Ovis aries: one gene and its partners. The protein of the gene in region 4 purifies or fractionates together with the protein of the main gene of each other region. This does not show direct contact. Links are inferred from orthologs where the notes say so. Each region holds a gene or a part of one and is shown on either strand. Other genes may lie near its edges.

What was found.
Region 1: the proteins of DERL1 (region 4) and TMEM129 purify together in Homo sapiens (affinity purification with western blotting; 3 studies listed by BioGRID). This does not show direct contact. The link is inferred for Ovis aries from reciprocal best matches to the Homo sapiens genes DERL1 and TMEM129.
Region 2: the proteins of DERL1 (region 4) and RNF5 purify together in Homo sapiens (affinity purification with western blotting; 4 studies listed by BioGRID and IntAct, with this or other methods). This does not show direct contact. The link is inferred for Ovis aries from reciprocal best matches to the Homo sapiens genes DERL1 and RNF5.
Region 3: the proteins of DERL1 (region 4) and AMFR purify together in Homo sapiens (affinity purification with western blotting; 4 studies listed by BioGRID, with this or other methods). This does not show direct contact. The link is inferred for Ovis aries from reciprocal best matches to the Homo sapiens genes DERL1 and AMFR.
Region 5: the proteins of DERL1 (region 4) and SERPINA1 purify together in Homo sapiens (affinity purification with western blotting; 4 studies listed by BioGRID). This does not show direct contact. The link is inferred for Ovis aries from reciprocal best matches to the Homo sapiens genes DERL1 and SERPINA1.
Region 6: the proteins of DERL1 (region 4) and FAF2 purify together in Homo sapiens (affinity purification with western blotting; 4 studies listed by BioGRID and IntAct, with this or other methods). This does not show direct contact. The link is inferred for Ovis aries from reciprocal best matches to the Homo sapiens genes DERL1 and FAF2.

Annotation. Positions count from the first base shown.
Region 1 is NC_056059.1:117,520,148-117,524,989, reverse strand, and holds the start of TMEM129 (E3 ubiquitin-protein ligase TM129), read right to left. Parts: upstream 3,134-4,842; 5' UTR 3,037-3,133; coding exon 2,832-3,036; intron 1,480-2,831; coding exon 1,005-1,479; intron 527-1,004; coding exon 367-526; intron 237-366; coding exon 1-236. Other genes in the region: TACC3 (transforming acidic coiled-coil-containing protein 3), read left to right, coding at 4,746-4,842.
Region 2 is NC_056073.1:26,283,894-26,288,438, forward strand, and holds RNF5 (E3 ubiquitin-protein ligase RNF5), read right to left. Parts: upstream 2,801-4,545; 5' UTR 2,692-2,800; coding exon 2,552-2,691; intron 1,503-2,551; coding exon 1,484-1,502; intron 1,390-1,483; coding exon 1,277-1,389; intron 1,175-1,276; coding exon 1,120-1,174; intron 1,043-1,119; coding exon 925-1,042; intron 832-924; coding exon 734-831; 3' UTR 250-733; downstream 1-249. UniProt on the Homo sapiens protein: Membrane-bound E3 ubiquitin-protein ligase that mediates ubiquitination of target proteins. May function together with E2 ubiquitin-conjugating enzymes UBE2D1/UBCH5A and UBE2D2/UBC4.
Region 3 is NC_056067.1:23,748,527-23,752,633, reverse strand, and holds the end of AMFR (E3 ubiquitin-protein ligase AMFR), read right to left. Parts: intron 3,528-4,107; coding exon 3,343-3,527; intron 2,522-3,342; coding exon 2,374-2,521; 3' UTR 889-2,373; downstream 1-888. UniProt on the Homo sapiens protein: E3 ubiquitin-protein ligase that mediates the polyubiquitination of lysine and cysteine residues on target proteins, such as CD3D, CYP3A4, CFTR, INSIG1, SOAT2/ACAT2 and APOB for proteasomal degradation.
Region 4 is NC_056062.1:29,741,900-29,746,704, reverse strand, and holds the start of DERL1 (derlin-1), read right to left. Parts: upstream 2,968-4,805; 5' UTR 2,748-2,967; coding exon 2,595-2,747; exon of another isoform or gene 2,551-2,594; intron 2,451-2,550; exon of another isoform or gene 2,275-2,450; intron 1-2,274. UniProt on the Homo sapiens protein: Functional component of endoplasmic reticulum-associated degradation (ERAD) for misfolded lumenal proteins. Forms homotetramers which encircle a large channel traversing the endoplasmic reticulum (ER) membrane.
Region 5 is NC_056071.1:56,847,697-56,852,331, forward strand, and holds the start of SERPINA1 (alpha-1-antiproteinase), read right to left. Parts: upstream 2,946-4,635; 5' UTR 2,855-2,945; intron 628-2,854; exon of another isoform or gene 559-627; intron 1-558.
Region 6 is NC_056058.1:35,705,492-35,709,766, reverse strand, and holds the end of FAF2 (FAS-associated factor 2), read right to left. Parts: intron 4,088-4,275; coding exon 3,905-4,087; 3' UTR 905-3,904; downstream 1-904. UniProt on the Homo sapiens protein: Plays an important role in endoplasmic reticulum-associated degradation (ERAD) that mediates ubiquitin-dependent degradation of misfolded endoplasmic reticulum proteins.

The DNA of each region.
Region 1 (4,842 bases), on a different chromosome or scaffold from region 4:
CACACGTCCAGGATGCAGAAGCGCGCGCGGCAGGTGGGGCAGGGCACGCGGCTGGCCAGCCAGGTGTCGGGGCGCTGCGGGTCCTGGCGGCTGGCGAACCACTTGCCCATGCAGGCGAGGCACCACATGGGGCGGCAGCGGCACTGCTGGCACGCGCCCGCGGCCGCCGCCTGGCAGCGCTTCACCAGCTTCACGCTGGCGCGGGCCTGCATGCAGCCGATGCAGGCCTCCAGGTCCTGCGGGCAGGCCGGCGGTCAGAGGGGGCTCGGCCGGGCTGCCTGGGGACGGGGGTCCTGCCCTACCCCAGGAGAGGCGGTCCACGGCGGCCCGGCTGTGGGAACCCACCTCCCCTGCCCAGCCCCCTACCTGGCTGCTGGGGACCGAGTAGGCCGGGTTGACCTCCACCAGGGAGGCGAAGGTCTCCAGGAAGAGGTCGCCCAGGCTCTGGTGGATGACCACGTTGGCCACGCTGCGGATGGGCGCCCGGAGCTTCTCACACAGCTCGCCGTACTCCGTGGAGTTCAGCCTGTAGAGGTGGACGCTGCTGGGCGGGGCCCACTAGAGATGGCCGTGGGTCCAGAGCCCACTGGCCCAGTGCTGCCCATGGGCCTCTCCTTGGGACATGCGGAGGGGCCCGGAGGGTGGGAGAACTGTAGCAGAGGGCCTGGCCCTCGGCAGGTTCAGGCCCAAGACGGGTCCAGGAGGGGCGGGCAGGCCTGCCACAGCCTTAACTAGACAGGAGCACCTCGGCCCCGGCCCAGGCTCAGGGCTGAGGGAGCCACCCAGCATCTGTCCCATACAGTGGCCCCCAGACACCCCCTGTGTGCTCCCGCCGAGGCGCCGGGAAGACAGCTCAGAGCAGGCTGGGAAGAAAGAGGAAACGCAAAGGACCTGAGGGAGGGGCACTCCAGAAGGACCAGCTCCCACCCACCCCGGCCCCTGAGCAACACCAAGAGCGACCAAGGGTGCACCACCCCAGCGGCCCCAGCCGCAGGCCCGCATACCGGATGTCGAAGGCCTGCACGGCAGGGTTGGCGCTGGCCACGCGGATGGTGAGCAGCTGCACGGGCAGATGTGAGTCTGGGGAGAGGTCGTGCTGCTGGGACTCCATCAGGGTCAGGTGCACGTCCTGCTGCTGGGCCACGTGCACGCGGTACGTGGTCACCTTCATCACCCATGTGTCCGTCACGATCACACGGGCACCCGGCACCCCGGTGGCAAACTTGTCAATCCGCCGGAACTCCGTGTTCACGGAGGAAGCCACAGCCCGCCAGCCCGACCGTGGGAGGGCATAGAGGGCCAGGGTGCGGGCCAGGGGGTGGCGGGCCCACCGGTCCCGGGACCAGTAGTAGATCAGGGTGCAGGTGATGGTGGGCAGCATCAACGCTAGCAGGAGGAAGGCCCGCCAGGTCTCCGGGGTCTGGCTGGGGTAGTAGAGCTGCTTTTCCGAGGCTGCAAAGCACATGCCCACATAGTAGCCTAAAAGGGACGGGCAAGCTTCAGCAGAGGTTGGGACTGCCCGGCTGCCAGCCTCCCCAGTACTGACCCTATCCCTTGGTGGGACTGGGGGAGGCCTCTTCCTTTAATCCCCAGCCTTGGATCTGGCTCTCTGCCACGGTCAGCTCCCAGGGCAAGGCCGTGGTACCCCAGGGCAGGTGGGCCTTGTCCAGCTCCATAGCTGACTCAACTGAGTACCTGTCCAGTGAGCAGAAAACATTCTCATCTTACTACTTTAGCTTTGTAAAACCACATATGAGTAGAGGAAATAAAATGAGAAAATCCTAGAAAAGCAAAAATAAGCACAAGGATATGGTGTCACCCAATGCAGAGCTGCCCACAGGCCGTCTTGGGACTGGATCTCAGCCTCTGGGTCCCAGCTACTCTGAGGAAGCAGACCAGAGTATGGCCCATCCCAGAACCGGGACGTCGTGGACCAGACAGTAAACAAACAGTGACAAGAGCAAGGGACATGGGAGCCAGCTCCAGGCCCCTGGTGGCCAGATGGGGGCCAATTTGCATATCAAAGTTAATAACGTGGATACTGACCTGCAGGAAGGGTTTGAAGTTGCAAAAATAGTAATAAATGCTATTGATCAAACTGATACATGATAAGTAACTCATGTGGCAATAAACAACACTTCTCTGAAGTTCCAAAAGGGCTTCTCTAGGACTTCCCAGGCCGTGCAGCGGTTAAGAATCGGCCTGCCAACGCGGAGGACAAGGGTTTGATTTCTGGGCCCGGAAGATCCCACATGCTGCAGAGCAGCTAAGCCCGGTGCCACAACTACTGGAATCTGCGCGCTTTAAGGCTTGCAACAGAGTATCTCCCACGCGACTAGAGAAAGACCTCGGGCAACAACGAAGACCCAGCACACCCGTGAATAAAATTATATATTTTTTAAAGGGTAGGGGTGAGGGTGGGGGCCTTCCCTAGTGTTCAGTGGCAAAGATCCTGCCTGCCAATGCAGGAGATGCGGGTTCGATCCCTGGGTCAGGAAGATCTACTGGAGGCGGAAATGACACTCGACTGCCGTCACCCTCTCTGCCTGCCTTTCCCGCACCCACCTTCCAAAGAGATTGGAACAGGCCACCCCTAGGGGCATCAGTTAACTCATACCTGACCTGTCCGCCGAGAGCCAGCTCACCACTTGCCCCAGTGAGCAGAGCACCCCCTTCCCCAGGGTTCTGAGCTCGCCTCTCCGCCGGGTACCTGCAAGGGGCAGCACTTCCCCGAGCACACGGGCGCTCCCCTCGCAGCCTCGGCTCTCCAGCACGGGACCCCGCCCCCCGTCCCTCCCGCTCCGGGTTCCGGAGGTCGGCGCCCGGCTCACCGAGGGGCAGCAGCGAGTGGCACAGCAGCGTGGCGGCCGTGCGGCGCAGGTGATAGGGCACGAAGGCGGCGTCTTCGCTGCCCAGCCAGCCGGACAGCAGGTTCTGCACCGTGAGCCCGGCCGAGTGGAACTCGGTCGGGGTGAACACGAAGCACACGGCGAACACCAGGTAGGCCAGCGTGAAGGTGACCTCAGGGCTGTCCATCGCGCCGCCGTCGCCGCCGGGAAACCGGCCCGGCGAGGCCCGCCACCCAGCGTAGCGAACCGGCCACAGCGTCCGGGTCCGGTAGGCGCCCGGCGGCGCGGGGCGCTCTGGGAAACGGAGTCCCTGCCCTCGGGGCACTCGCGGGGCGCTCTGGGAGATGGAGTCCCGCGGAGTATTTTGGGAAATGAAGTTCTCGAGCCCCTCGTTCGACACCCGCCCCCCCACACATCGCGAGCCGCCCCTACAGTTCTCGCGAGGGTTTGGCTCTTCCCCCACGACCCGCTTGGGGGCGGCGCTGCACTCGATCCCATTGGCCAGCTGGGGAAACTGAGACTCGGGGGAGAGGCTCTCGGGCCCTAATTTCCGCGCAGCTCAGGCGCGTCCGCACCAAAGCCCGGGATTCCTGGGAGACGGCGGGCTCCGCAGTCACCGTCCACCCGCGTGCGGCCTCCCCTCTAGGCGCGTCAGGAGAACCGCCTTTACTGAGGAATCCGGCGACCGCCGCGCCCAGCGTGCCCTCGCCCCGGAAACGAAACCTCCTAGTGGGCGTGGGCTGGCGTTCTGCCTCCCATTGGCTGTCGGCGCCCCGCGCCCCGCCCCAGCCACGCGCTGATTGGCCGCGCTCGCCAACCGTCGGTATTTGAATCGGCGGCGGGCAGAGGGGCTCCGGAACTCGGCACCTCCCACCCTGGGCTCCGCGCGGCGGCCGACAGGTAAGGGGGCGACGGCGGGGGCCCGGCTCGGGGCTCCGGTCCTGCCTCTTGCCGGGGCTTGGGGCTTTGTCGGCCTGGGTCTGCCTGCCGCGCTGGCGACCTCCCCGCCCCAGACCGGGGCCTATGCCGCCTCCGGCTCCGCCCTCCTCGCGGTCTGGGCCGTTCTCCCGCCGTCCCTCACTCCGCCGGCCCGGCCGCAACCGGGAGCAGAGCAGATGGGCTCCCACCCCCGCCTCCCGGGACGCCCGGTGATTCCGAGCCTGAGTCCACGCGCGCTCGCTGCCCTGCGCCCAGCGCTGGCCTCCCGATCCCCGCCCCTCTGGGTCCAGCCCCACCCGGACCCATCGCCGACTCCTGCCGCACCTGATTCGGCAGACCCCCCTCACCCTAGGTCGCCAGTCCCTCCCCGCCTCCCCGGCCAGCCCTCCTCTTCTCAAAAGACCCCTCCTCTTGAGCAGAAGCCCTCGTCATTAGCAGAAGCCAAACTCCGGAAGGCTGCAGTCATTGTTCTCCCACTTTCCCCAGGGCAAGGAGGAGGTCTGCCAAAAAGGCGTCCTGTCTGCTCTCCGTCCTGTGTCCTGCAGCCATCCAGCCCCCCTCCCCTGTTTACCCAGGTGTTCAGGCTAAACCTCAAGAGTGAGTGGCCCCTAGCTCAGGCTCATCTTTCCCGTCTCCGGACGCAGTGTGTGAGCCCGATGCCAAGAGGGACTGACCACGCCCCCTGGCCCAGTGCCAGAGCCTCTGACCCCACCCCCCACCCCCCTCCCCGCTTCCCTCCTACCCCTCCTGTCGTCCACAGGCAGCCCCTACCCCCAAGCCCTTCGAGGTGGCCTGTCACCCTGACCTCCCCTCTTTTAAAAGCCACCCTTTCTCCCGTGCCTCAGCCACCTGGCCTCCTCAACCACAGTCCCCAGGGTCCCCACCGCCAGCGAGTACCTGTAGTGCCCCCACGAGGCAAATGCCCAGTCCTCTGGTGACTCCTCAGTTGGGAGTGCCATGCCACTGACCATCGTGAGGGCCTCGGGAAGGAGGAATGAGACTCCCCTGGAACCCCTGGGCCTGATTGGAGGCCCCTGGTGGAGACACTCAGCTC
Region 2 (4,545 bases), on a different chromosome or scaffold from region 4:
CTTTTCTTTTCCCAGTCTGTTCCGGCCCCAGCCCAGTTCTCCTCTGTATAATCTTCAGCCCACCTCCCGCCAGCTTTCTTCCACAACCAGAGCCTCCCACAGAAAGTGATGAGTAAACACCTGCCACATTTGCTGTGTGTGTTGTGTGATGCCCTCTCCCCCATGCTTCCCCACACCACACCAATATCTGCTCAAGTTGGGGAGAAGATGCTCCTGTCTTGAAAGGAAGGAGGGACGGACAAACGTAGGCAGAGTGAATACATCTCATCATGTTTATTGAATTTATCATAAAGGAGGTAGTGAGGGGAGGGAAGCACTTGAGAGTCAGGACCCACATTAGACACTGGGGAGAGAAAAATTAAATTAAATCAAGGGGAACATGGGAGAAGAGTCAGAGGGAGCCTTGCCCACCTTTCAACATCAAATCAAGAAATATGGTGGAAAGCAAAGGATCGGGAGAGACGAGAGACAGACACTGTCTTTAGTCCATCCTCCTCTCCCAGAGCTGGGAGTTATGACGCTACTGAGGGAGCAGTCCAGAGCACAGGTTCTCCTATCCTATGCACAGATGTCACTCCTTCTCCACACATCCTTGTGGAAAGTGGCCAGGGTTGGCCTTAGCCAACAGAAATGAAGGGCTTGGGTGGGGAGGGTCCAGGAGTAAGGAAGGGTCAGCAGGGACCCCCAATACTGATTCTCCTCTGGCTGGTGGTGGGCAGGAAGGAGACATGGCTCAAATACTGAGCAGCCAGAAAAAGAAGAAGATGGCGAGAAACAGGAAGAGGGAGTCCTGCCAGCTGGAGGCCGGGTGACCCTGTCCCAGATCCACACCTGTGGGAGAGAAGAGAGCTGTGAAAGAAGCATCCACTCATAGGCCAGGGGATTCAGAGGACTTGCTGGTAGCAGTTGAGGGCAGACTCTTACCTGTACCCCGACGGAACGGTTCATGGGTATTGAAGACGGTGGTGAAAAAGCCAAAGGGAAAAGCACCGACACCAAATGAGAAGTGAAAGCCCCCAGTATCACCAAATGGCTGGAATCCCTAGGGAGGCGGAGAAGGTCAGTGGGAAACTGGGCGAGTCTTTGGCAAGGAAGGAACACAAATCAGACAAGACTCACCCCTCTGCTCTCTGGAGCGGGTCGCTGGCCCTGTGGGCGGGGTGGGGTTTTCAATCTGAGGAAGAGGAGAGGGACTATCAATATTCCCTCCTCTTCTACACCCCACTCCCCAGAAAGAAGTGTCCACTTTCTTTCAGTACCACCTCCCCTCTCTTACCTGGGATCCTGGGGCTTCTGGCTCCCTCGCCCATAGAGAGGGACAACGTTTTCTCTGCTGATCCCAGCTTTGCACACTGGGCACTCTTGCCTCTCTGGCCGTGTCTCCAACCACTGGGGGAAAAAAATGTGGTTTCCAGTACACAGAAGGGTTCTTCCAGCTCCTCAGACCTCCCCATTTCCCTCTTCATCTCCTCTGAGTACGCACCTGATGAAGACAGGGCCAACTGCAAGGGGGAAAACAAAGGTCAAACCAGTTGAAACCAAACACAAAAGAGATACCTACCCAACCTCAGAGTCCCACCTCGCTGTTACCAGGTATTACCTGCTGTTTCTTTTCATATTTTCCACAACTCCTACCATGCCAGCCAATTTGGCCATCCTGCTTCTCTAACCTTCCAAAGCTACATCTATTCTCAACAGGCTCAACCCTCACCTCTCTCCTCTTCCCTACCGCAATCCCCACACCCCATACATATACAAATCCTCACCCCTTCCTTCTCTGCTTTTCAATTTAATTTCCAGTTTTCTTCAACCACCCCTTTGCAGGCTCCTTTCAGCCCTCCTCTCATTCTTGCCGCCATCACTCCCCAACCAAACCCCCTTTACCAGCACCTACCTTCTCCCATTACTCCTTTTCCTATCTCCTATGCTCAATAAAGACCTTACTTCCACAATTCCTTAATCTTTGGGGGCTGCTACTCCACCGTGCTCTTGTCCGGAGGTTTCTCATACCACCCCTTGACACAGCTCACCTGAATGTGATCCCTCGTTCTCTAGATCTCCCCTAACCTTGCAGTCTAATCCGTTCCCAACTGTACAGCTGCTGCTGCTGCGTCGCTTCAGTCGTGTCCGACTCTGTGCGACCCCATAGATGGCAGCCCACTAGGCTCCCCTGTCCCTGGGATGGATTCTCCAGGCAAGAATACCGGAGTCGGTTGCCATTTCCTCCTCCAATGTACAGCTAAGTAAGACCCCTCAATTTCCAGAGGTTAAGGTGGCTCGGGTCTCACCTGCACAGATGTGCGGTACCCACCTCCTGCGCCCCATTTCTTAACATACTAGTTGGAGCCTAGTTCCTACGACTTTCCACGGGTCTCCTCTATACAGACGTGACCCTCTCACCCACACATACCCAAAAAGACGCAAGAAGCCCCCTCAGGCCTCACCTATGAAAATGTGCCCTCTGGTTGCCCGTATGACTGTGGCACCCCCACCCCAACCTCCCCAGTATAGATGTGAGCCCCAGTTATTTTTGCCCCTCTCAGATTCTCACCAGTACAGGTGGCCACACACACTGACCACAGCTTCCCGAGCAGTCTCCAAACATATATTACATTCGAAGGTCGCGCCCGCCCCGCCCCGCTCGCGGTTTGGCCCTTCGGGGCCCCCGTCCTCCTCCTCCGCTGCTGCCATGGCCGGTACTCTTTCGTCCCCCGCGTACCCCTTAGTCCCCCGAAACACACATACAGACGCCCCGAGAAACGAGAAACCTCCTCCGGCCCACGGTCTTTGGGCAGGCTTCAAAGTTTTCTAATCACTATTGGCCTGAGTGCCTGCCAATCATACAGAATCGGAAGGAAGGATTGGTCCAAAAGGCGGGGGCGGAAAGATGATCACGTGGCTCCGCCCTTGTACAATGACTATTGGCTGACACAGTCACAGTTAGTCGGCAATGCCACGGGATTGGTAACAACTCCATACGTCCTGTCACCCAGCTAGGGCGGGCTTTATTCGTCTGAGTAACTGCCAGTCATAACCAAAGGCCAGAAGCAATTGGCTCAAGACTGCTTAGACCTCGCCCACTACAAGACCCAGTCTTTCTTTTACTTCCTCTTTCAGAGAATATCCAGATTCCTATTGGACTTTGGAGCGTTTGGCTCCGAAGCAACTGATTGGCTACACCTCGACAGAAAATGGTAGCTAGGTAAAGTGCGCGAGCGCATCAGGCAGGGACGGGGTGGGCCAATCCTATGAGGATTGAGCCTTCTCTGGTCCCACCCCTTCACCTCTATACTGTCGCCATGGTGACTGCTCCACAATTGGCGGGGTTTGGGGTTCAAAGGCCTCGGCTCGTCCTCATCCGGGTCCTCCGACTGAGGTCTCTCTCGACTGATTGGACCCCTTTTTTCGCTCCTGATTGGCCGAGATCGGGAAAGACGGCGACGAGCTCGGAAAAGAGGACAAATACTAGGGTCGCAGGGTTCAAAATGGCTTCGGCCTCCTTCGGTGACGTAGAGAGCAGAACTTGGGTCCGCCCCTCCCTCTTAGTGAAGAAGGGAGCAGGACTAGGATTAGCCCGACGTTTGGATGGTGCGAACGTCGATCTGCAGCGCTGGTGTTAACCCATCTCCCTCGGCTGGACGACTCAGCCCGCCCCTCTTTAGGTGATTTACAGAGCAGAACTGAACTGAAGACCCATCCCCTTTTTAACGTGGCACATAGTAGAACGAGTTGACCTCGACTCCGTTTTAAATCTTAAAAGCAGAAAAGGCCTAGCCCCCCTCCCTTTGTGAGTGGGTGCAAGAGGCAAGGCCCGCCCCCTTTTAGGCGACCCGCCCCTTCTTTCTCCTGTGCCCGGCAGAACTGGGGTCTTCCTCCTGGGCTGGACCCCTGGGACTTAGGCAGGCTGCTTCAGAGCGTGGGCCTTTCGCACAAGTTTGGGCCTCTTCTACAGTCAGTGGCCCTCACTGAAGCCCAAGGAGCAGAACTAGGTAACAGTCCTGGAGTTACCGGTGTTCTTTACATCCTTTTCAGGGCAAAGGTGACTGGGGGCTGGAGGCCAGACACAAGCTGAGGGTTCTTCAACAACATCCTGATAAAAAGGCCCCACGTGACTCAAGTGAGGAAAGATGAGAAATTAGGAGTCGCCTATGGCAGAGGAGGTTAAGGTTCAGGCGACGTGTAGAGGTTTAGGGAAAAGGTCATTGAGAGGGAGAAGAGGAGACCCAATAGGAGTGGAGAGTGATGGGATGATCCTGACAAGGGGATGATGGGAGTATGGTGGAGAGAGAGCTAGGTACATGACTACAAAATTAAGGAGGCATGCTCATCCCAGAGGAAACAGCATTCTTCCTCACTTTTTCAAGAAATTAAGCCTAATGTCCAATTTCCATTGGGAAAAAAGCATACATCTTTTCTATATTGCAGAGACGGGTAGTCTCAGCGTGGGTGAGTAAGGAGACTATACGAAGGAAGAAAGTAAGGTACAGCCTACAGGGACAAGGGCCTGAGAGTGTCCCTTCTCCCCAAAGACCAGGATGGGGGGCG
Region 3 (4,107 bases), on a different chromosome or scaffold from region 4:
AGGGCTCCTTGTGTGTGCAAGGCCCTGCTCCACAGAGCTCTCAGCTTTACCCAGAGAGGACCACATCTGCTGGCCGAAGATCGAAGAGCACACAGTCTACCCAGCTCAAGTGGGAAGCCAGGTCCGTGCGGCCACCTGCACACCCAGAATCCACATCAACAGAACTAGAACATCCACAAAGATCATGGGTCTCTACGGTACATAAAAGCCTCAAAATCAGAGGGGGGAAAACCAAACTGGGAACCCAAGATGTCAAAAGGGTCAAAAGAAAATGAAAGGAGTGAGGGAGATCACTTCCAGAAGAGCCCAGAGAGCGCAAGGGCCCCTCCACCACCATTCAGAGCACCCAGACGCCCTCGGTTTACAGACCTGAACCAACGGCCTGGCCTCCTCAGCAAAGCATGCTGGAGAAGCTGGCACGGCCAAGGGGCTGGGGGCGGGGGCCACCCCATGGCGGTGGGGGGCTGGCCTGGCATCCTACCCTTGCCTTTAGTCTGTCCCAGATATCCCCAGGAAGTGACAGAAGCCAAGAGACAGTAAGTGCACAGAATCCTTTGCTATGCAGGAGTAAAGTCTAAGGGCGAATTTAGGATCTCTCTTTGGGGTCGTTTTAAAGGCATGTCTCTCCTGTGATCACTGTCATACTGCTGTATTCCACTGTCTCAGGACCCTCTAAAATTGACTCCAAAACATTCTTTCACACATCTGAAACATAAGAACACACGGAATTGGTATCATCTTTAAAGGTGCACATCACACACACACACACAAAATTATAAAGAAAACCCCACCAACCAAAACAGAATACACAATATCAAAACACAATCTAATTTCTGCACTTCTGAAGAAAACTGCCTTAGCTCCAAGCCACACACAACACCACACTAGGACAGTTTGCTTTTTATTATTATTATTCTTGTTGTTGTTTTACAGTAAAAACAAATAGCTATGCTCTCAGCAAAACAAATTTTAAAAGAAAAAAAATCACAGAAATTTACTAACAGCATTTCAAGATAAGGCTTTCGGAAGATTTATTGAAATAAATTATCTCAGCCTAAACACGTACTCATCGCTCTATTTTCAGTTACTTCTCAACATCCTAAAAACTTTGTTATGTAAAATACATTTAACTTTGCCAATTTTAGGTAATACTGGATTCTTCCCAAAAGGACTACCATAAAACTATGCTTTCAAACATTAAAAAAAAAAGAAAACTTAATCCAGTAGGACATAAAACTGAACTATGTAAGCTATGATTGCGTGTTTCAAACCCTTCAAGTGAAATTTGTCAAGGATTTGAAAAAGTTCAGATCTGGGTCTGCTCCAAGGCAGGTGGAGGCAACACCTCACCTTTTAACCAACACAGTTATGAAAATGAAGGGCTCCAGGGAAGAAAGCTACAAAAGGTATCATTTGTTTCTTCAATGAAGCCCTCCAAGGAGTACTCTCCCATCCCCAAAGACCAAACCCACAGCCTTTGGCATTGCCTAATTGACTTTACCAAGGAATTAAAACCACGAACCAAAGCTTGCTGCTTAACCCTGTCAGTGCTGACCTTCCCCATGTCTGGGGGCAGGTGGGCAGGGGACAATGAAATACAGAGAGGAGAGGATGGACACGCGGGGCATACTCATAGATGGAGGAGCACCAGCATTAACGGAAGTAAAGCCAGCTCTGGACAGGGGGCTCGGAAAGTCCCGCATGTCCTGGGACACAACTGTCACCTCCTCACACCACATCCCTGGGCTTTCCCTTGCTCTGCTCCAGGTATCAAACCAAACACGGTTTTTCCATGAGGCCCCGCCAGCCCAGGGGTCCAGAAGCCTGTAGCTCTGGCCTCACTCTGTGACATTCTGAATGCCTCCTCACTAAGAACAGCAGCTGGACAACAGAAATTACCCAGTGGTGTGGAGTCAGGCTCTGTCTGTCCATCTCCACGCTGCTTTGTATGGATCCCCCTGCCTCCAACCCCCATCTGCTGCACACACACTTCCTGCCACATTTGGAGCTAAAGACACTGGCATCTGTTATGACTTCTGCATAAGGCAGGTATGGACGTTGCCTGCTTCAGGTCTTTGGTTGCCCACCTCCTCTTGATCCTCCCCACCCGTCCAAAGTCCAGTCAATGCAGAAGAGATCATGCCTAGAGTTAAAATGTGCAGTGTTTCTAAGGGAAGAAAAATGTCACATAGAAAGTATTACAAAAAAGGATTAAATCTGTCAGCTGTCCAAACACTATTAAGACCACATGCTTTATACAGCGGCGATGCAGTCAAGCCCGCTTCTTCACACAGCGGGCGCAACTGGGGACAGGCCTCTTCAGCAGGCCGGGCACGCGGCTCGGGCGGAGGCGGCGCGGACGGCAAGGAAGCGCTAGGAGGCCTGCTGCTTCTGAAGCCTCCGCTCGGCCGCAGCGGCCAGCATCCTTCGACGCAGGGCCACAGGGTCAGAGGCCGTCCCTTCTGAGGGGAGGCAGCTCTCTGAGGCCGAGTCATCTTCAGAGCTTCTGTTCAAGAAACGCCTACCAAAAACCAAAGGTGCAAGTGAGGGACCCGGGCAGCTCTGGAAGGCAGGCACACAGACACACACTATGTGCTTCCGTAATTTCCCCCTCCCCGGCACGGCCACGAAGTCACTCAGCACCACCCCGTAAACCAGACACCCAGCCCTGAACGGAGGGGCGGAAGGTCTCTGCAGCGGAGGCTGCTTAGCCCCTCCCTCTCCTCCACCCCCTGCACACACACAGCATGAAGTCCCTACTCACCAGGCTGGCGCTGGGCACCAAGCCCACCCACGGGAACAACACACCAGCCCTGTCACCAAATGTTTAACTACCCAGTGCCTGCCAAGTCAAGAGAACATTCTCCCTCTGGCTGCCCCCACCCGGGGCTGGGGCTTGCGGGGATGTAGCCGTGCTCCAATGCTGGCCGTGCAGAGTGGCCAGGACGGAGGACTCGGGAGCTGGGCACCAGGCCGGCATGAGGCCCTCGAGGCCTTGGTTTCTTCAGCTTCAAGTCTGTTTAATGGGGATAATCACCGTGCTCTCTCTTAGAGTTAAGAGAATGAGAAAGTAGTTAACATAAAGGGTCTAGAACACGTTGGCACAGAAGTACTAAGCACGGGAGTGTGGGTTAAAGCGCCCACAGGGGACGCTGGCAGCGCTGGCCAGAGGTTATCGGGTGGCCCAGTATTACCAGATCCTCTGGCTTCTCAGCAGAGATTTGAAACTGGAAACTGCAGGTGACAGGTGCTAATGCTCCAACGCTGGCATCTATGGCTAGGACGCTCAGGTCCCGGGACTGGATGGGAGGTGCCCTGCAATGGCACTGCGGGCCCGCTTACCTCCGCGCCTGCTGCAGGAGGTCATCCTTGCGTTGCACCAGCATGCGCTGCCTCTCGTCCGCGGACTTGGAGAAGCGGCTGCCCCGGGCCTCAAAGTCCTCCCCCTCACTGGGCTCCACCTCCAGCTCGCCAAAGTCCAGCGCCTCCTCCAGCCGAGGACTGAGGTCCAGCGGCACCCGCTCGGTCTGGACACAAGGAAGCAAGGGGTTGCTATGAGCAGTCCAGTTCCCCACCTGACCAGAGCCCCTCGTGATGCTCTTCTAGACCCCAAAGGAGACAGGCTGCCAGGCAGGGACCGACAAACACATGTCAGCAGACAAGGGTTCCTGATGGGCAGGGCCTGACTCACCACGGCATGTTCAACACTGGGGAGTAAGTGAAGGATTACCATATGGAAAACAGAAGCACCTCGAAACTGTACTGTCAGAAGACACACAACTACTAATTTGCATTCTGGGAATTTTCTGTTCACCACTACTTATGGCTCTAAAACTTCAGCAAGTCTTACCACATGTACTGCACAAATTTTATACCCTCATTTGACTCTGAAAACAGCTAGGCAGATAAGAAGGGTATATTCTTAGTATCTTTTTTAAAACAGACATGAGATACTGTGCTTGAGTCACAAGATGTAATAATGGGGCTCTCTCCATTATAGATGCAGCTGTGAAGGCCAAGACAATGCCCAAGGCCCTTCGCAGGCTCGGTTAGGGGCCGTCTGTGTTGCTCGTGCTTCCAGACCCAGGCTGGCCAGCATCAGCCCAA
Region 4 (4,805 bases):
ACCTATCCACTTCTATCTCTGAGACACCCTGATCCAAATCACCATCTTTCTTGCATTCTAACTTGACTTACCTCGCTGGTCCCATTACCTAGCCCTCCCTTGCCACCATTCACAACACCAAGTCCATCCCACAGAGTTGTTTAGTCGCTAAGTTGTGTCTGACTCTCTTGTGACCCCAGGGACTATAGCCTGCGAGGCTCCTTTGTCCATGGGATTTTCCTGGCAAGAATACTGGAGTGGGATGCCACTTCCTTCTCCAGGCAATTTTCCTGATGCAGGGATCGAATCCTGCATTGCAGGCAGATTCTTTACTGTTGAGCCACCAGGGCCTCCCCTCACCCCATAAAGAGTAGCCAAGAGAATATTTCAGTCAAAAGGCTCTAAAGGCTCTGCCTTTCTAGTGCCTTCAAATTAAAGTTCAACCACAAAGCCCCAGCCTACTTTTCCATCTTTGCTTTATTGTACTTACCCCCGGCTATCTCTCTGTCCTCCCTACTAATCCTCATCCCTCCCACTGACTCTGCACTAACCATTCAGTCTTCTTCCTGATTCTAATTCCTGCCTCTAAGTCTTTCACTTATTCTTTCTTCTTCTTGCAAAGATTGTCTCCAGAGCCACATCTTCCCAAAACTGGCTCATCTTTCAGATTTCAGTTCAAATATACTCTCTGACGCCTTTCTAGAATACTCTATCAAAGTCACCATCGCATGCCTCTCTTATTTTCTTCCTGTTCACTGTTGTACCCCTAGTGCCCAGCACTGGTTCCATGCATTCAACCAATAAGTAAGCACTTGCTATGTGCCAAACACGGATCCAGGTAACAGACTGGTACACAAGACAAGCGGTGCTTGTGGAGTTTTATTCTCTGAAGGGAAGCAGGCTGACGGACACCAAGGGGTGATATGCAGCAAGAAAAACTATCAGGAAGGGAGACAGACTGAAGGAGAGGCACTGTTTTAGGGCAATCATAAATGCCAATAAGGTGGCATTTGGGCAGAGTTGAAGGAGGTAAAGAGGTAAACTATGTTTACCGTACTCAAGCAGAGAAACATCATGTGCAAATGTCCTGAGGAGGGATGGCGTTAGGTGCTGAAGAAACAGGAAAGATCCCACTGTGGAACCTAATGTACAAGGTGAAGAGTAGGAGGAGATGCGCTCAGAGAGGCAGTAGGAAGCCTTGCAGGCCAAAAGACTTGAACTTTACTCAATCAGTTGAGAAGACATTAAAAGGATCTGGGCAGAAGACTGACAGGACATGGATTTATGTTTTAAAAGGATCACTCTAACTGTCTGGAGTTAAGACTGAAAGGAACCAGGCTGGTATGAAAATGGCTTGCAACAGAGAATAAAAAGGGACTGCATTCTGGATATTTGTCTAAAGTAAACAGAATTTGCTAACAGACTGGGATGTGAGAGAAGTCAAAGATGACTCCATGACTATTAGCTTGAGCTCCTATAAAAATGGAGTTGCTATTTACTCCTAGGGGAAAGGGTACAGTGCTGGACACATTAAGTGTGTGATGTCTGTTAGTCATCTAAGTAGTCATTTCAAGTATATGGTTGGGCGTACAAGTCTGGAACTGAGACAGATCTGGACTGAAAGTAGGTATATTTGTATTTGAGAAACTTCAGCTTGTAGAAATGACTTAAAGCCATGAACTAAACGCGATCACCCGCAGCTAGGGAGAATACAGAAAAGAGGGCCTGGGGTACACCACAGTATTTAAAGATCAGGAAGATGAGGAACCAGCAAAGAAAACTAAGAAATAGCCAGCGAAGAGAGAGAAGACAAGACAGCGTTACCCACAGTCCAAAAAATGTGTTGAAATTAATGTCAGATCTTAGTATCCGACCTGCACTGATTAAAGATTTAAATCACAGAATCCGGTGAATAAAGATAAACCTCCAGAAAACTAATATTCGCTTACTAGGAATATTACCCTGGACTGTTTCCTTAATGCTTAAAAAAAAAAAATCCATTTCTGGAGCAATTTACTCTTTACTCGGTCCTTCATAAATTCAACTACGACCTGCCAGATACTAAGGACTTGGGAGACACACAAACAGACTCACTCTTTGCACCTCAGACTTTCAAATCACTCCTGCTGGGAAGAAACTTCATTAACATAAAAAGAACTCGGCTGGTGGTTGAGCAAGGCGACGTCCACATGCCACCCACGTGGATGGCAGAGCGAGGTCGGAGGGCAGGTGCTCCAGGTGGCCCCAGCCTGCCATTCACTGGCGTCCCACAGATCGACAACTTATCAGTCTTACCTTCCCAGTGGCGCCTTCTCGGAGCCCAGAGGGCGGGGAGCACAATCTTAACAGGACAAAATCAGTCCCTTCCCACCGGGCCAAACCCTGGAGCCTCCGTGTCTCCAGCAATCCAGGCCCACGCTCGGACGCTTTGGCAAAGCAGTCCACCCGTCAGTCCACCCGACTCCCGGACCAAAGGACCCCGCCCTAAACCGCGGGAGCCTCTGCACTACAAATCCCATCAGGCACCGCGCGTCCGCAACCGGCCAGTCTACGCTCCGCCGCGGCGGGGCCACTTGGGGTCTGTAGGCGCCACTTGCCCCGTCGTCGGTCAGTACCTGAAAGCGATAGAGGAAGGCTTCGGGCCAGAGGAAGAAATAGGCCGGGCTGATGAGACCGAGTTTGCCGACTAAGGGCACCGCGACGGTGGCGGCGAACCAATAGCGCGTGATGGTCGGGATGCTCCTAAACCAGTCCCCGATGTCCGACATCTTCGCCTCTTTGGTGGCCGGGATGCGCGCAGCCGCCCGACTCCCCGTCCCGGCCCCCTCACGACGCGGCCTACTCTGCGAGTGGAAAATGTCCAGGCGGAAGCCGCCCCAGCCCCCGGTGCAGAAGGCGGGGACCGGCGGACGTGGCGCCACCGAATTCGGACCAGCAAGGGAGAGCTCGGCGGCGAAACTTCCCCTTCCGGCGGCCGCCGACGAAGTTGACCAGAAGCCCCGCCGCTTAAAGGGCAAGCATACTTTTTCACCACTGGGTAGAAGCTTGGCGTCTCGGAGGCGGGGCGGAGAGGGGCGGGGCCGGGCCGGGCCGACAACACGACTGGTGGGGAACAGTGGTTGCCAGCAGCAACGACAAATATTCCGGCCAATGGCGAGACTGAACGCCCTCTACCTAGTCCTGCGGATTTATAATCCAGGTGGGTCTACTTGGCTAGTATTTAAAGGAGAAGGAGGAGATTAAACTACCACGTAGCTGCTCATTGGTTCATTGTTTGGGACAAAAGTTTGTTGAGGGCTTGCTAAGTGCCAAATAGGGTTCTAAACCCTGGAGGTGATGCAATAATCAGAGCTGTTGTACCTTCTCCCCTGGAGCTTACATACTAACCAAGATAGGGAGATAATGAGCAAATAATTGAATAAGATAATTGCAAGCGAGTGATAAGAAAAATAAGGAAAATAAATTAGGATATTGGGGGCTAGAGTGGCAGGGCCGGAGTGCAGAAGTGTGGGGAGAGATGGCCACTTTTAAAATATTTTTTTTCAGATTTTATTAAGTTTTGGTCGCACTCTGCAGCATATACGATCTTAGTTTCCCAACCAAGGACTGAACCTGAACCTCCTGAAATGAAAGACTGAGTCTTAACCACTGGACAACTGGAGAAGTTCCTGAGAGATGGCCACTCTAGATGAAAATAGTCAAAGAGAACTTGCAGGAGGTGACCCTTGAGCTGAGCCCCGCCCCCCCAAGCAAAACTCTGAGGAGTTTTCCAGGCAGAGAAAATAGCCAGTTTGCACACACATAAAAATGTTCCCTGCCATGTCAGTAAACAAAGAATGTTGACTTCCATTTCAGTAAACAGTGACTATTGCCTGCCATCAAGCCATCAGCCACTGCAGCACCCAGATAGTGGGCGCCCAGGAGGAAAGCAGGATACTGGCTCTAAATAGTTAAGATGCATACCTAAGGTATAATTTCAATGAGCCAGATTCTTGCATCTTCCCGTAAATCAGAAATCACTAAACCATTAACTTGAGATGTCTGGTTTTTGTGATTAGTACTAATCTTTTCATATTTGACTATGTGCTTTGTTTCAGCAAAACCTCCTATACATCCTGACTTCTCCCTTGCCTCTTCGGAGCAGTTCTTCAGAGCTATGTTGTTGTTTAGTCACTGAGTTGTGTCCAACTCTTCTGCGACCCCCACAGACTGTAGCCCCGCCAGGCTCCTCTGTCCATGGGGTTTCCCAGGCCAGAATACTGGAGTGGGTTGCCATTTCCTTCTCCAGGAGATCTTCCTGACCCAGGGATTGAACCTGTGTCTCTTGTGTCTTCTGCAGTGGCAAGCAGGTTCTTTACCACTCGCACTACCTGGGAAGTAAATTCCTCAAATAAAACCTAACTCATGACTTTTAGGTTATGCAGTTTTTCTTCAGTCAACAGCTCCAACTGGCTCGGATTGTTGAAGGAACTGAAAGCAGAAATGATCAAGACTCAATCTAGTTTGCTGGGTAGGACTTAAATTACAAGTAGATGAAAATCCATCAGGCTTTTAAAGGAATATATCAAAGGATGCAGAGTAGATGTTTTCTGGTTGTTTTCAGATGTAGGATTGCTGGGGTGCACCCTGCAGACCCTACAAGCCCCTTACATGCCCAGCTTCAAGACCAAAGAAATGATGATCTTTTACTTTTATCAGTTCATTTCACATTTTCTATTTCATATTTAGTGCTCCCATTTCACTTAGTTTATGTTTTCCAATTTTCCATCTCTTTTTGTTGTTAATCTTTCTCAAGACTTTATCAAGCACGGTAGAAAAGCTTTTGT
Region 5 (4,635 bases), on a different chromosome or scaffold from region 4:
GCTTCGGTAACTCCAGGCTAAGACCTGGTACGGTTCTGTTCTGGGCACTTCTGCAGAGAATGGAGGCAGCTGAAACTCAGAGCTTCCCGTCCGACCTGGCTTCCCTACCAGGTTGCTCTGTGAGCCTGGACTACTCACTGTCCCTCCCTGAGCCTTATCGTTCTCATCTGTAGAAGCGAGAAAAGATACACACCCAAGCAAATGCAGAGGCGGCGAGACCTACAGAAGACACCGACGGGACAAGACCTACAGAAGACCACCGACGGGAAAGATACAGGAGCTGCGCCAGCAGAAACATACTCCCTCCTAGGTCGCTGGATGCCAAAGCCAGCCCCCACCCCCTCACTTCCACTTCTGCTCGCAGAGGGCCCCTTTAGTCACCAGGAGGAATTGGGGAGGCCCTGGATAGGCTTGGGAAGCAGGAAAGGACCCCTGGGCTGCTGTTACTATGACAGCAGATGGCCTGGCCCCAGCCTGCTCCATCCTCCTTGCATCCCCAAGGCTTGCCTGGGGAGCGCAGGGTCCTGGAGGCCCCTGGCCAGTGGAAGGCATACTTACGATTCACTGTCCCAGGTCAGGGCTGCTGACTGAGGCTGAGGAGACAGAGCCCTGTCCTTGCCCCTATTTAACCACTGGACCCAGAAGGGCGAAGGGGGAGGCTGCTGGTAAACATTAACCAAGGTCACCCCAGTTATCAGAGGAACAAACAAGGACTAAGTCCATCGGCTGGACACTGGACTGCCTGCTCACGTTGTCCAGCGGTGCTCCTTCTGGGCGGCACGCAGCCCTGTGCTCCATATCCCTGAGAGAGTCTTTGTGCCCAGCTCATAAACCACAGCATCCTGCATCCAAGCTGGGGTGGCATTGATGCCGACATTCTAGGGGATGGCATGATTTTGCTGGCCTGCAATCCACTGGGGAGCTCTCAGTTGCTGCTTCATCAGTAGCAAGAGCTACCACTGATGGAGCCACCTTGAAATGCCCAATGCTCACTGCTGGGATTTCCCTGGTAGTCCAGTGGTTAAGAATTTGCCTGCCAGTGCAGGGGACATAGGTTCGATCCCTGGTCAGGGGAGATTCCGTATGCTGTGGGGCAACTATCCCATACAGTGACTGCTGGAGCCTGTGCCCTAGAGACCGTGGCCCGTAACCAGAGAAGCCGCTGCGATGGGCAGGCCGTGCACCACAACTAGAGTAGCCCCTTTGCCACAGCAAGAGGAAGCAGCAGCGAAGAGCCAGCATAGCCAAAAAAAAATTAAAAAACAAACAAACAAAAGGCCCACTGCTGAAGATGCAAGGGGTAGAGAATGTTATGAGCTCAGCTGGCAGATAGAGAAACTGGTCATCTACCTCAAGTCACCAAGCAGACACAAAACCGCTCTCGCCTTCCCTGGAAAGAAAATGGGTCCTGACTGCAGTTGACACAGCTACCTAAGGCTGATATGGGTGGCATGGGCACAGGCCCAGGGTCAGAGAGTAAATCTATAGAGGGTTGTGTGGCCTCAGGCAAGCTGGTCCATCTCTCTGAAACATGGGGTAGTTTCATTTGCATCCTAAGGCCTTGGAAGTCCCACTTCCAGCTCATTGCCAGGGATGTGGAACTCACTTATGTAAAGCACTGGGCACATACTAGGCTCTTGATTTTGATCTGCACAGCCCTCTGCTCACACCTGCTCACCAAGCTTCTCCAGGTGGGAGGAGGTGCAATTCCTGGCCAGCCTCAGGCCTGTTTCTGTTTCCGCTGGATCTGGCTTCCGGCCAGCTAACTCGACCCACAGGCTGCCTGAATTTTCCTGGGACCTGTGGCTCCATCCAGGAGCTACGGCTGGCTTTTGGGGGCACTGGTGGTGGCCAGGGTGGTAGTGTGGGATTGAGGCCAGTGGGGCCCTACTGGGGTGGTGCATGTAGTTTGATGCCAGTCGCCTTGGGCTTTTCAGTGGGTTAGAGTCCATTTAGAAGCCTGAGGCAGTTGGCATCATGCTGTGTGCACCGCCCTACACACCCTTGGCACGCCATGTACACTCGGTATTTGTTGAGCCAGTGGACAAGTGTGTCTTTGTCCTCCGCTCATCCCCTGGCCCCAGCTATGGGACTGTGCCTGGCGAATAGCCTGTAGGTTCCTCTACTACACAGGTTTAGACCAGGGAACCCAGCATCCCCACTCACTGGCTGTGAGATCTCAGGTGAGTCATTTAATCGCTTCATGCCTGTTTCCCCATCTGTAAAATGGGGATGTGACAGTTTGTACCTCGCTGGGCTGCTGTGAGGATTAAATGCAGCAGTTTCAGAGCTCAGAGCCCAGCGTCGGGAGCACATGGTGAGCCCTGTGCCCATGGGTCTCCCTGCTGTGATTCTAGGTGGGTGGTCTGGGGATGAGGGGAACATTCCAGGAGCTTCCCTCCAGGCTTCCCTTACTCAGTCCTCTCAGTGTCCCTGTGAGGAGAGTGTGTACCACACACCCCCCCAATATAGGAGCAGAAATGAGTCCAGGGAGGGAAGGACTCTCCGCTCCTATCTCTCCAGACTTTCCGATTCCACAAGCTAGCTTCAGAACACTGACTCTTTCTCCTGAGCTGGCTGAAGGAGTTTCTTACCCAGGGCTCTGCACCTACCCGTAGCTTGAAGACCTAGGGTGTGATGAAACAAGGCTTGCCCTCCGTACCTCCTGGACATTTGTTCCCCTCCCCGTGCCTCAGTTTCCCCATCTGTAAAATGGCCTCCCTCCATGCCTGGCTGCCCCTTTCAGCTCTCTCACTGAGTGGGTGTAGGCAAGTGTCCAGGCTGTTGCCACGCTTAGTGCCTCTCAGCCTGGTGTTCTGGGGCAGGTAGGAAGGTGCCCCCCTATCCCCCTTACCTTCAATGCCAGGTTCTTGTGGCAGAAGGAACTCCTCCTCCCCTGGGGCTCCTGGAGGCAGTGTGTGCCCTAAGCGTGGCGTCCAGGCTCTGCCAGCGCAGGAGGAAGGAGCTTCTGGGTGGTTCAGGCAGCAGGTCTGGGAGGGGTGGGGACCCTGGGCAGGAAGCTGCCTTGCACAAAGCTGCCAGGAGCCAGGCAGATGCCAGAAAACCCTTTCCAGCCCAGGCGGTAGTCTTGTGTGTCACCTGTTGTCCCTGCTGTGTCTGGCTGTGTGACCCAGGATGAATCACCCAGTGCCTTTGAGCTTCTGTAAGCGGGCTGGTAGCACCTGGCAGAGCAGATTAAAGGGCATGACAGGCGTCTCCTTTTGGCCCAGAGCCGGGCATCAGCGTTTTGGCAGGTTTTCAGGGCCACCTGTGGAGGGAGGCAGCCTAAGCCACCTCTGAAATGCACAAGGGGAGCCCCACAGAGACTGAGATGGGCTGTGTTTATTGGGGAGGGTGTGTTACAGACGCTGGCTGCAGGAAGAAGGGATGTAAGATCTTAGGGGGGACTGGGGCACTTGGAGGAGGAGTGAAGAAAGGATGTGAGGCAGGGCTGGGGAGAAAGTGAGGGGCTCTGGGTTGGGACCTGTTCCTTTTGAGTCCAGGGCTCCATGCTCAGCCCTTCCTCGTCTCCCCATCCTCCCACTGCCCACTTCTGTAGTATTTCACACTGCAGAGAGCTCCTCTGGACGTGCATCCTGGGAAGGAGCGGTGGGATGATCCGGGAAATTGGGCAAGCACAGAATGCCTGGGGTGGGTCCACCCAGGGGCCATTCTCCAATCACAAATCAGAAGCCAAGCTGGAGAAAGTTCTGTCCACTTGGTTACTTCTGGAACTATTGATTGTTGTATCCAGACTGATTCTCTGGGAGTGAGTGTATCCTAGAAAGATGCTGTGCGCTGGCTGTGAATTGGCGGTGTCGGGGAGACCCTGTCCCCCCATAATCCTGCCTAGATATGGGAGAGGGATGGAAATAAAGATGAAGTGTGAAGTCTGCAGCAGGAAGGGAGTGAGGGGAGGCGTATAGACCAAGTAGATGAAGGACCAGAGGCCCTGCTTGGTCCAGAGAGTGAGGGAGGACTTCAGGGATGCTACATCTGTTGGCAGTTTCCCAGAGAGTGTGGGACCTAGCCTACACTGACTGCCCCAGGCACACACACAGACACATCAATGTACCCCCGATACTCACTATGGGAGCCCCCTTCCAGGCACCAGCTCCCTTCTTCAGGGGGCACTGTGGCTTAGTGGCTCAGGCATGGGCTGGGGGGCTGAGCATCTGGATTTAAGCCTTCACTCCACAACTATCTGATGAGATCTTAGCTAATTAACCTCTTTGCACCCCCATTTCCTCTTCTGTGAGTTGGGGAATAAGAATGACCACTTATACCAGGACTGTGAAGAGCCAGTGTGATGATAACACACAAGACAGTCTCAGGCACAGATGGGCCCTAAGTCAACGCCAAACATGTTTTATCTTTGATATTCTGAGCCCGGAAAACCTCAGATGAATCCCAGGATCTGAGCAGGAGAAAGATTTGGAGGGAGGGGCTAGTGCATTTGCCCAGAGACACCTCTTCAGATTCAAGCTTCTGGCTAAAGGCCACCAATCCCCTCTCCTGGGGGCTGGGCTCATTTTGCTTCCTTAGGTCAGAGGGCCATGGGCAGTTACATCTTTCTGAGCACCTGTGAGGGACCGAGGACCAAGTTGGGTGAGGGGTGGTTGGAGGCAGGGGAAC
Region 6 (4,275 bases), on a different chromosome or scaffold from region 4:
CAGAGTCTGCATCTTCCTTGACTATTAATAGATGAAACAAATTTTGTATGTTAGCAATCAAGCAAATCTTGTGAACAATCAACTGTAAAGTTTTCATTTTTAGGGGATTCTGACCTAAGGTGAATTAACTATTATTGCAGACTTACTAGACTGAGAAGACATTCTAGTTTGCACTTAAGATGTGGGTTAAAAAATACATATATGTATCTTTGGGTAAGCAACAGGGCAGACTCTGCAGGTGACAAAAACTTATAGAAATGAGTTTTTTGCCCAGGACAGGTAGTAGGAAAGAGGCAAAGAACTGAGGCTTAAATCTCCTCAGAAATAAAAATAAGAGCAAAAACAGACTAGGAGGGTAGTTCTAAAAGTCAAGAATCTGTTAGATCCAAAGTGACTCTTCTCTAGCCACTCATTTGCAAGAACATAGGTCTGTACAGGCAGGAGAAATGACATTCCTTAATAAACTAATCATTATTAACACCAGAAAATATACCTTCAAAATACACTTCCTCAGAGAAAGGGGAACAAACGACACCTGCATCAGGTGCTTTATATATATAGTTTTTCCCCCCCTCCATTTACTTGATTTTATCTGCAAGCCCATCCTGAGGCAGATGGTATTAACTTCATTTACATTTGGGTGAAACTAAAGCTCAGGGGACCCGAGACAGAGGCTCACAAGACTGACAAGTGACAGACCACAATCTGCACACAGATCCGCCAGCTTTCTATTCACTCCTGAGCTGCCATTTTCACAGGAACACATCATAGGTCTGTTTTGACTCCCTGCTTCTTTTTGACCCTCTCTTCTTGGCAATATTCCCTTCCCTGATGTTTTCCAACCTTGCCTTCAGACAGAACCACATCTCCCCCAGACAGAAAGACCCACAACTTGGTATGAAAATTTTGTTATAAAACATTTAATGTTAACCTACAATACAATGTAAACTTTTATGAAAAAAATTTAAAGTACACTAGATTTCCTCAGTAAATTGTCATGTAACTTATTCAGGTGCAGTACAAGTTGGACACTGCATCCTTGGGGGATGGATTTCTTGTTGCTGCGTCTCTCGCAAGTCCTTAAAAAAAAAAAAACAAAACCAGTTCTAAAGTGGAGCTCCTTGTTCAAGCACCAGATTAATACTCCCCTGACTGCGTTCTGGGGGTTATCACTCCTTCCCACAGTCATTTTCCGTAACTTTTTCCTTGGCCTTGGCACCATTTGCAGTGTTCATAATGACTGTTCAGTTGAAGATTCTAGGTTCTTTTTAGCTTGTTTATAGTCTTTCTTTTTTAAAGAAGTATTCTCCATTGGCCATTTTTTATCCAAACGTTATAGTGAAAGCAAGGACAAAGAAGTATTTGCTGCAGGAAATTCTGCAGGTGTTGAAGAAAAAACTGAGGCTACAGAAATTCAACTGACTCCAATTGGGTATCTTTGCTTGGTCACTTCCTACGGAAATTCAGTTGAATCTACTACTTCAGTCTTGGAAATGCAGAACAAAACTGGAAACAAGTGTTTTTGTTTAGCTGATGACTTGGCATTTGAAAACAGCTGAAATAATCAGGCGATTTGGAAACAAGAGCAAATGCTTGTGGATCACCAGCTTCTCTGTTTTCTTGCTTGAAGGTCCCATCATGTTCCCAGAGGTCCTTGGGAATAACATACAGATTGTACCGGCATTGACAAAATGTGCACCTTTCATGGAGCAAAGGAGTGGGATGAGTGGCAGGTCTCGATCAGCAAGAAGACAGGAACTGCTCTGAGTAAAGCAGCGGTAAAAAAAAAAAAAAAAAAAAAAAAAAAATGACAAAAGCAAAACAAAGCAAATTGACAGGCCATCCTGAGAGTTGTACTGACACAAATAGACTTCAATACTCTGGCACTGGACCTCCTTCACTGGTCAGGTTAGCAAAAGGCAAGAGGCACAGGGTGCACACTGTAGAATGAGATGCAGATCGAACTATTGAGCAGACTTGGTACATCCAGCCTGGCAAAGGTCCTGCCAGGGAAATGCAAATTCTAGGCAGGCAGGTTGGTTCTGAGTTAACTGAAAAAATTCCTCTTTGCGTGCTTGTCAGCAAGAAGCAAACTTCTCACATAAGGTGGCCTGGAGAACATGGTTTATCCCGGAATTCACTTCAGATAACATTTTATGCCAACAGCCAGCAATCTCCCACTCATCTGGTCATGGGATGGCAGGAAACAAAGTGGAAGGATGACAGAAGCAGGAGCGGGGTTACATTTTCCTGGAGATTGTGCTGTTGACACTTGTGCCAAGGCCACTGCGAAATTCTCAAGGTCCTCAGGTGACACCTACGGGGCTCCCCACCTGCCCTTGGTGGTGTTTACCCCAACCACTGAGGGCAGCAGCAAATAGCAGCCATGTCAGTGCAACCTAAAAGGATGGCCCTCAGGTTTAGCTAAGCAGGAGATAAGCCTCTGGAGACTGCAAATCCAGCAACTTGTGCCTGACCTTGGTATGAGCCCCTGGCCTCACCAAATGCTAGGCAACTGTGGTAACTTCAGTAGGTTGCAGTGTTGGGTCTACACCAGTCTACCACAGAACACCTTGGAATACTTGTCAGCTCATGCTAATACATGGCCTGACCCATGTACCCATTACCATAAACTCAACCACAGACAAGACATCCAGAGGCTAAAAACCCCTACTACTTCAACAGCAATAGAGAGGATAAAAACTTGTCTCCACAGCAGGCGGCTACATCAAAAACTGAACTAACTGTGCCTTCCAAAAATTTACACAGGCTGAGTTCTGTCTTGACTTCCTTCAAGCCTATGGTTCTTTCAATCCTTAAACCACCACTACCGCCAATTCCTAAGGAGATAGGCAAGGTCCTCTCACATGGTTCTGTTGGCTGCATCACAGGCCCTGTTAGTCCTTTGGAAAGGCACCAAGCTTGGCAATTCAGGAAGGCTCAGGGCTGGGCAGAAAGAGCATGCACATGTCAGAACAGGAATGAACTGCCATCCTTTGGTTCAGACCCCATAATGACCACTGATCCAGATTCCAAGGAAAAGCTGCAGTTTTATGTATAGGTAAATCTACATGGAGTTCATACCATATATACGGGTCTATTGGTACATACACCACCTTTGCAGGGGTACAAACCTGGACTTCCTCCCATTGCCCCAAGCGGGGTGCATAGGTGGCAAGAAAGGACAGCAAGAGTTGGACCAAAAAGAACCACCTCTCTGGGAACGTGAGAGGGACAATGGCAGAAATAAGCATAAACCAGCCCAGGGCACCTTTATTACACTCTTGTGGGCTAAGGAGCCCAGGGCAAGGATTCATGGGTTTAAAAACTGGCTCCTTATCAAATAATGTTAAGGAAAACAAATACATCTATGTCAGCCTCATTCCTTTGGTCATTACAAAGCAACAGAAAAAAAATTAAAATTATTCATGAACTGTAGGAAGTTGAGGAACATCTCTCCGCTCTGTGCCTTCTCTCCCCTCTTCTCTGGAGGTGGGAGAAGCGAGTCCTCAGGAGATGCTGCAGTAGCTGTTTGATGAAGGTTTTCACTTTTATTTTCCATAAAAGCAAGAATGCATGAGATCTAGTGGGAATGTCCCCTTCCCCAGTTGGGACAACGGCTGGGTTGGAGGCAGAGTCTCCTTTCATTGGAAGGTGTATGGTGCAAGAGGGAGTAGGGAAGGGTGGGCTTGCCAGCGGGAACGTTCATTGCTAACCTCGCGTGCGCACACAGGTGGTGACTCTTGCAGGCAGCATGGTTTCTGATCCTTCCTTAGGACGCAGCAGTCTTTAAAAAAAATATTGTATTATAATAATAATAATATCAATCTCTCTTATTTTTGTGTGTTTTTTTTTTTCCATTTCTTTTGGGGATTGGGGTGGGAGAGAAGAGGAAGAAAAAGTGTCATTCGTCTGTTAGGTCCTGAACAAAGAGAACTTCTGTGTGGCTGAGTCCGGCCTCCTGCAGCGTTGGGGGGTTGGGCCACTCCTCTGAAGGGAGGCAGGGCAGCACCCTTCGGGGAAAATTGGCTTCAATCTGAAACTTTTCAGGGCTTTCTTTCAAGGAGAATAAGAAGTCGTGGATTACCTGCAGAGGTCACAGAGAAAAAGGGCAGTGAGAAAACACACACACACACACCCCAACTATGAAATCAAATATAGCTTTCTCCAGGATGACTTGGAGATACAAAATTACCGCATTACAGTGAAATTTCATTTCAAAATCCATCCATTTCACAGAGCAAACATGCAGGGAAGCTCTTTTTAAGAGATTTG